2 linked regions of the Arabidopsis thaliana genome follow. The protein of the gene in region 1 purifies or fractionates together with the protein of each later gene. This does not show direct contact. Each region holds a gene or a part of one and is shown in the gene's direction. Other genes may lie near its edges. The genes, in order: MYB29 and NIG1.

Region 1 (4,658 bases):
CATAGTTTTCCTGCCCACATTTGAAAAGTAAAATAAAGATCCTCTTTTGTTATTTGAGGGTTGTCTTTTTTTTTTTTTTTTTTTTTGAATCAATGTAAAATTTATTCAAAAAAGTCCTTGGTTACAATATATGCAGCTTTAAGCATAACGTTTTTTTGAGTTTCAGAAAATTTTAAAACCAAGGAAAAACAGAGGTATAAAGGATTTCAAAACAGAGCCTTTGTTAGGCTCTCGAGTGGAACCAAACCCGGAGGGCGTCGGCCATGTTTGATGGTTGGAGCTGGTGAATGAAGGAGATTCTACGTACGCCACATAATTTTACCATTTTCAACGATTGCGTTGTTTCCCAAATTATGAATTGGAACTTTGGTAGCATCGCAATATATACGACGTTTGGGTTTGGCCCATGCTGCCATGCATAGCAATAGTTTTAAATACATGTGGTTGGTAATATAGAAAATGGTTTGAAAGACCACAAACTTTGATCAGTGATCGATTCGGTAGGGCCACAAATAACAATGTTTTCGCCACATGGTCATACTTTACGTTTTCGATGAGAAAATATTTAAACAGTTTGTTCGTCAAATTTCGATTAACTAGAACAAAATTCATAAACGAGAGAGACAGAATAATTCGAGAGAGCTAGAGTGAGGGTAACTAGAAAGATAGTAACTGATTTTGTATCTAATAATTAATTCATTAATTTAAAATCAATGATAAATCACTTTGATGGTTGTGGCCTTGTGGGTAATTATAATTAACACGTACCATTTTTTATCAAGGCATTTTTAAACATTTTGTTTGTTTTTATTGAAGTTTTCTTCTCACTATTCAAAAACGTAAAACCCTAACAAAAAAAAGTAAAAGTAGAACTGTTTACAAGTCTGGCTGAATGGGTTGATTGACTCGACAAAAGATTTTCCATGTGGATTAATAGAACAAATTTTAATAATATATACGAAATTGATGTATTTTCTTTTCTTTCGATCACTATTAATGTCTTAAATAATAAAAACATATAGTACATTTTACAGATTATAAATTTATGTTGTGTTTTATTTTGAGTTTTGGCTTGAATTTTTTTTTTTTTTTTGTTGTTGTTGTTAAAGTGGTTTGAATCTGTATTGGTTACAAATAAAACAAATAATGTTACGTTCATTTTGTCTGTAGATATTTTTCTTACAACTTATGCAGCTATCTTTGGGGTTTCATTTTGAGTGTGGATGTTTGGTTTTGAGTTAACTCTGCATGTTCCGAAGAGGCGTAACTAAAATAAAAGAAACTACTTGAGATGCGAGATGTGAAATGTGATTAGATGAGAAAAAACGAACATTAATAATTGAGCAAAATAACTTTATTTAAATTTTGAATTCAGCGTTAGTGTTACACCCAAAGTGGCAAACAAATAGGACCGATGTTGAAAAAGAACACACGTGATATAAAATGTACTGAGAGAAAATTATTTGCATTAGATGACAATAAATACAATAATAATGAATAGATGAAATAACTTTTAGTTGACGAAAAAAAAAAAAAACTTTTAATCTATTTTATTCACTAGATCAAAAAGCATGTTTCAGACAGTTTTATTCTTATCATTCAATTATTTCACAACGTATAATTTTAGTTTATTTTCGTAATTTGTTAATATACGTATCAATTGAATATTTTTGACGGTTTTTATTATGTCATTTAATTATTTAAGGGAACATAGTTTATTTTAAAATGCAGTTCTATTTTACAAAAAAAAAGAAAAAAAAAATTGCAGTTCTACGTTGACATCTAGCTGATCAACTATTCATCATATATACTTGTATAATCTATTATTTTAAGTTCTATATTATTATTAATATGTTAAATATAGATATATCTATTTAAGAAAATATCATATAAATATATGTTATAAATCTATATATAGAAAAAATAAAGCACAGAATTTTGTCCCACATTCTGTCGATACGTACTCGAGCTTATGAAGTTGTTCTTTTCTAATTATATTTTTTCCCATTGCCCTTTATCAAATCAACTCTAATAAAAATATATGGTAACTTATGAAGTTGTCATGTATTTATGATATTTCTCTTTGGGTCGGCACTGTATTTGTGATGTTGATTATTTATCTAGTGGCAGAAAATATTCCATAAGTCTCTCTCAAACCATTTGAATAGTTCCAAAAACATCTTGTCACTAACACTCACTCTTGATGAGTTTTTTTTTTTTTTTTTTGGGGGGTCAAAGTACTCTTGATGATGAGTTGATATTCTTATTTAAAAAAAGCTTATTACTTATTTAAGTTATTTCAAAAAGTACATTCTACACGAGTGCCAGGCTTATATATATGCATAAACATATATAATTATGCATGGAGGAGTAGTAGCTTGCAATGTCTTGAAACTTTGATATATCTTCTCCTAGTCTTTCTTTTAAATGTTTAATATGAAAACACAAAATCCTACAACGGTCGTCTACCACAGTTTCTCAGTCAGTTTCATATTCAGATGCATCAGAGTTCTCATCAAGAGATCTATCAGTCTATTGCCTTAAACTCGACGACATTCTGTTTTTTTTTTCTTTTCTTATTTTTTCTTTTTCTTATTTCTTACCTATAGGTTGTATGTAAATCTATATCAAAAAAAGAAGAAAAACAAGATGTCAAGAAAGCCATGTTGTGTGGGAGAAGGACTGAAGAAAGGAGCATGGACTGCCGAAGAAGACAAGAAACTCATCTCTTACATTCATGAACACGGTGAAGGAGGCTGGCGTGACATTCCCCAAAAAGCTGGTATATATGTGCTTTATTATTATGTATATATTTTAAAACACTTTTTACATATATATAACTATAATTGTTGTTTTTATGACAAATGATGGTGTTTAGGACTAAAACGATGTGGAAAGAGTTGTAGATTGCGATGGGCTAACTATTTGAAACCTGACATCAAGAGAGGAGAGTTTAGCTATGAGGAGGAACAGATTATCATCATGCTACACGCTTCTCGCGGCAACAAGTAAAATCCTAGCTTGCCGAAATCCATATAAATAAGGGTATATATAATTAACACATTATTAAAGTTTATATATATGTTTTACTTAAAAGGTGGTCAGTCATAGCGAGACATTTGCCCAAAAGAACAGATAACGAGATTAAGAACTACTGGAACACGCATCTCAAAAAGCTCCTGATCGATAAGGGAATCGATCCCGTGACCCACAAGCCACTTGCCTATGACTCAAACCCGGATGAGCAATCGCAATCGGGTTCCATCTCTCCAAAGTCTCTTCCTCCTTCAAGCTCCAAAAATGTACCGGAGATAACCAGCAGTGACGAGACACCGAAATATGATGCTTCCTTGAGCTCCAAGAAACGTTGTTTTAAGAGATCGAGTTCTACATCAAAACTGTTAAACAAAGTTGCAGCTAGGGCTTCTTCCATGGGAACTATACTAGGCGCCTCCATCGAAGGAACCTTGATCAGCTCTACACCGTTGTCTTCATGTCTAAATGATGACTTTTCTGAAACAAGTCAATTTCAGATGGAAGAATTTGATCCATTCTATCAGTCATCTGAACACATAATTGATCATATGAAAGAAGATATCAGCATCAACAATTCCGAATACGATTTCTCGCAGTTTCTCGAGCAGTTTAGTAACAACGAAGGGGAAGAAGCTGACAATACTGGAGGAGGATATAACCAAGATCTTCTTATGTCTGATGTCTCATCAACAAGCGTTGATGAAGACGAGATGATGCAAAACATAACTGGTTGGTCAAATTATCTCCTTGACCATTCCGATTTCAATTATGACACGAGCCAAGATTACGACGACAAGAACTTCATATGATCCGTTGATTGCTTACCGGACTAGAGTTGACCGGTTAATGTCATATGGTTCTCTTAGATATTTGTCAAGTTATAGTAAAGGTCCACTATAGGGTCACTATATATTAATATTCAGTAATGGATTCTCTTAGTTAGAGAACCTTGTGATGCCGTGGATCAATTAGTATTTGATTTGCGGGAGACACGAGTTTTTTTTCCTTCTATTGTTGTTTGTGGATTTACGTACTATAAATAATAAATAAAACACCCATTTGATTGCAAGCGTTCACTGTACTAAAACCATTTGATTTAAAGTTTGAGCCTTAGTTTGTCTGACAGTCTGAGCCATGTTACCAAAAACAATGAAAAATATGTAACACATTTTAGGTTTTTGGTGATATGAAACTCCGAAGAAACAAATCCCTACTGACTACTGAGAAAGTCGATAAGCTTTTTTGTGGATAAGTTTCATGGATATATTAGAAGTAGTAACCATTAACCAACAAAAAAATAGCTTAAGTGAGTTATCAAGGGATCGATGAACAATTATGAGATCCAATGTGTTTTTGTTAAGAGGCAAAATCCGATGCAGTCTCTATGAGACAAAATTTCCATGGGAAAAACAGAGAGTTCTGAAGTCTCTCTACCTTAAACATGTGCAAGCCTTAGCTTCAAATGCTCCGTAAGGTTTTCATTTAAAAACATGAAATAAGATAGAGAAATGATACTTGATCCAACTGATGAAGATTAACAAGATAATTTTGAAGCAACTTCTGTTTGTATAATATGTCGTACAAAATCTGCTACCAATTTAGAGGCCAAATTATTTTCTTTT
Region 2 (4,159 bases), about 17 Mb from region 1:
GCATTCACGGCTCCGTCAATAGATTGCGTCATTATTTAAATTTTACAAAATAACTCCATTAAAAAATATAGAAACACAGAATCAATGTTAAGCTTCACCATTACACATAAAAACTAAAATGTCTATTTAAAATCATCATGATGGGGTGCGAGATTAAAGGATTGCATTGCTAACTTTGCCTCTTTACGTTACTTTGGTTAAACCCAATTGTTAAAAGGGAGAAATCGAACATTGGTTATTTGACTTTTGAGTATATTAGTATCAAAATGTATAGGTAATAATGAAAAAAATGAGGAAGTGCAGTGCAACAAAGTCCATTGACATTGTTTTGTTAACCTGATCCATATAGAATTAAAGAGTGATAACAAAAGAAAAAAGAAGAAGAAGAAGAAAGAGTGATAATTTTTTTTTTTTTTTTTTTTTTTTGAAAGAGTGATAACATATATGGGTGAACTAGGTGTATAGCCATAATTGAACAAAAATTAAGAATATAGCCATATAATTTACGTAATTCAGCAAGTAACCAAAAACTCTAACTAATTACAAGTCTATCCCTGCATTATTTCCCTATTTTCCAATTTGCCATGACTCATCATCTTCTTCGTTTTGTTGATCAGATATTGATCTAAAGGTAATATTCCATATGTTCTAAAGGTAATGGATTGTGAATCAGATATTGATCTAAAGGTAATGTTTTTTTAACAGACCTTTTTCATTCATCATCTTCTTTGTTGCTTCTTCTCTTCTCTCCAATCCAACAAAAAATTTCCAGAAAATTTAACTTTTTTATATCAATCCATTCTAATTTAAAAACATCTATTGATTTAAGAAAACTAAACCCTAAGATACTATATATGGAACCCAAACAAAAATAATTAAACTAAATGAAATCATCTCAAGAATCAGTTTTTAGAAATCTGACAAAATCATGTTTATATACTTTTAATCTCTTTTCTCCTTTCCTAAAGCGAATTGAAATCGATTCGATTTTGGGTTTAAATTTGTGTTAGGGATTTTCAATTTTAGATATTGATCAAACCAGAAAATATTCAATAAGATCTTGTGAGTCTTCGTTTTCATTTTTTTCCGTTCTAACTAGCAAATAGAATGGTACAAAATTGAAAGTAAAATAGAAAACTATAGTTCGGTTCTGTTTTAATTAAGTTAAAGTAGAAAAAAAAGATAAGAGGCGAGAGAAGTGAAACAAGCAATGGAAGAGAGGAAGAAGTGATTAAGGTGGTGGTGGTGTGTATGGTGTAGGTCGTAGTAATATTTGTGTTGGTGGTTGCAGTGGTCGTGTGTCAATTGCGGCGGCAATAATGGTGATGGTGGTTGAGATGACAGCGTAATGGTAGTTTCTATGGTGGTGACGATTGCAGTGGTGATGGTGATGATGGTATGACATTTGTGGAAATAATGGTGGATGCGATGATGATGACGGTTGCAAGGGTAATGGTTGTAATAGCATAAAAAAGATGGTGATTGTGTAGATAAGAGTACTTTAGTATATATTATAGTTTATATACAAAATATCATCTCTGTTTTTGTTGTTGGTTAGTTTCTTAATTATAGTTTTTTTGTTAGTCAATTTTGCAAATTTCCCGACATATAATCGTGTTTCATTCAATCCATTTTGTTCAACGACGAAACAATCCCGTTACCTAGAAAAATGTGGTCCTTTTACCTGGTGATAGGTGATAGTGATACATCAGCTATCGCACATGGGTCGTTAAAATTCATGAAAAGAAAACCACAGAAAAATGTAATATTTTCATGCACTCGTGTGAAACAAAATAAAGAGTACACTCTATACTCTATAGTTTCTCGTTTAGTTTAGATATATAAATACAAAGACTTGAGACGACTTCTAATACTCCGGCAACGATGATTAATACCGACGATAACTTATTGATGATCGAAGCTCTCTTGACCTCCGATCCGTCGCCACCATTACTTCCGGCGAATCTCAGCCTCGAGACTACTCTCCCGAAGCGTTTACATGCTGTGTTGAATGGAACCCACGAGCCCTGGAGTTACGCCATTTTCTGGAAACCGTCGTACGATGACTTTTCCGGTGAAGCAGTTCTCAAATGGGGCGACGGAGTTTACACTGGTGGCAACGAGGAAAAGACACGAGGGAGGTTGAGGAGGAAGAAGACGATTCTGTCGTCTCCGGAGGAGAAAGAGCGTCGGAGTAATGTTATTCGGGAGCTTAACTTGATGATCTCCGGCGAAGCGTTTCCGGTGGTTGAAGACGACGTCAGTGATGACGATGACGTGGAAGTGACGGATATGGAGTGGTTCTTCTTGGTTTCCATGACGTGGAGTTTTGGTAACGGATCCGGGTTAGCGGGTAAGGCGTTTGCTAGCTATAACCCGGTTTTGGTTACCGGTTCGGATCTGATTTACGGGTCGGGTTGTGATCGGGCTAAACAAGGAGGGGATGTAGGGTTACAGACCATCTTGTGTATTCCTTCACATAACGGAGTGTTGGAGCTTGCATCCACGGAGGAGATCCGACCAAATTCGGATCTTTTTAATAGGATCCGGTTTCTTTTTGGAGGATCCAAATATTTTTCTGGAGCCCCGAATTCGAACTCGGAGCTTTTCCCATTTCAGTTAGAGAGCAGTTGTTCAAGTACTGTAACCGGTAACCCGAATCCTAGTCCGGTTTATCTACAGAACCGGTATAATTTGAACTTCTCGACGTCATCTTCCACATTGGCGAGAGCTCCATGCGGCGATGTACTGAGTTTTGGCGAGAATGTTAAACAGAGTTTTGAAAATCGGAACCCTAATACTTATTCTGATCAGATTCAAAACGTCGTCCCTCACGCGACGGTGATGCTGGAGAAGAAGAAGGGAAAAAAGCGCGGGAGAAAACCGGCGCATGGTAGAGACAAGCCTTTGAACCACGTGGAAGCAGAGAGGATGAGACGTGAGAAGCTAAACCACAGATTCTACGCATTACGAGCGGTTGTACCAAACGTATCGAAAATGGACAAAACGTCGTTGCTCGAAGACGCGGTTTGTTACATAAACGAGCTGAAATCAAAAGCTGAAAACGTTGAATTGGAGAAACATGCGATTGAGATTCAGTTCAATGAACTCAAGGAGATTGCAGGACAACGAAACGCAATTCCTAGCGTTTGTAAATACGAGGAAAAGGCATCAGAGATGATGAAGATCGAAGTGAAGATTATGGAAAGTGATGATGCAATGGTTAGAGTTGAATCAAGGAAGGATCATCATCCAGGAGCGAGATTGATGAATGCTTTGATGGATTTGGAGTTAGAAGTGAATCATGCGAGCATTTCTGTGATGAACGATCTTATGATACAACAAGCGAACGTGAAGATGGGGTTGAGAATCTACAAGCAGGAAGAGCTTAGGGATTTGTTGATGTCGAAAATTAGCTGAGAGTTTCTGCGGTGTGTTTTGAGAAAATTAATCATGGGGTCAAAGTGTAATTAAGTTTTGTTGATTTTCTCATAAGTTAATGGCCGTTTTATTAGATTTTGGATAATATACAGTTCTAATCTTGTGACCCAAAATTAGGGGGACTTATTGCAAATGGTCAACCCTGGAATGAACGAGATGAACACAAACACAAATGGTGCTTGAATTCTTTTTTTTTTTGTTTCCTCTTGTTTGTTCATCTTACTAACATGAAAAAGATGAATATTTATATTTTGCACTTTCAGCCCAAATGGTAAAAATTTGGGTTGAATATATTTTTGAGAAAAATCCAAAAAAAGATTATTGCACGTTTAATATCCAAACTTTTTTGGTTGGAAGGAAAATATACATAGTTTAATTAAAACATATAATTTAATTTCTACAATTTTACTCAAGATCTAATAACAAAAGCAAAATTCTAGTTTTACTCTTACCATCTCAATTAATTTATAATTGACATGGTATATTTGATTTGAATAAAAATTATTTTTTGTTGATAGGTTGTTTTTATTAAAATTATTTTATTTTGACTACCAAAATAAAAATTAGAAGAAAATCTTTTTAAAAAAATCTTCAACTTTCCTTTTTTAAAACACACCCTTTAATAGATAAAATTAGGGTTTTTGGAATGAAATGTTGAAGAAGATCAAAAAATTTAGATTTTTTCTATCCCAATTTAAGTGGGTGAGTAAGACAATAC

What was found.
Region 2: the proteins of MYB29 (region 1) and NIG1 purify together in Arabidopsis thaliana (affinity purification with a luminescence readout, with the first as the bait; one study listed by BioGRID). This does not show direct contact.

Annotation. Positions count from the first base shown.
Region 1 is NC_003076.8:2,444,441-2,449,098, forward strand, and holds MYB29 (myb domain protein 29), read left to right. Parts: upstream 1-2,228; 5' UTR 2,229-2,649; coding exon 2,650-2,782; intron 2,783-2,878; coding exon 2,879-3,008; intron 3,009-3,097; coding exon 3,098-3,845; 3' UTR 3,846-4,144; downstream 4,145-4,658. UniProt on the Arabidopsis thaliana protein: Plays a minor rheostat role in aliphatic glucosinolates (GLSs) biosynthesis, mostly short chained. Together with MYB28/HAG1 and MYB76/HAG2, promotes aliphatic glucosinolate biosynthesis but represses indolic glucosinolate biosynthesis.
Region 2 is NC_003076.8:19,000,835-19,004,993, forward strand, and holds NIG1 (calcium-binding transcription factor NIG1), read left to right. Parts: upstream 1-1,729; 5' UTR 1,730-1,884; coding exon 1,885-3,420; 3' UTR 3,421-3,550; downstream 3,551-4,159. Other genes in the region: AT5G46825 (uncharacterized protein), read left to right, coding at 1,211-1,227, 1,292-1,345, 1,380-1,449, 1,585-1,665.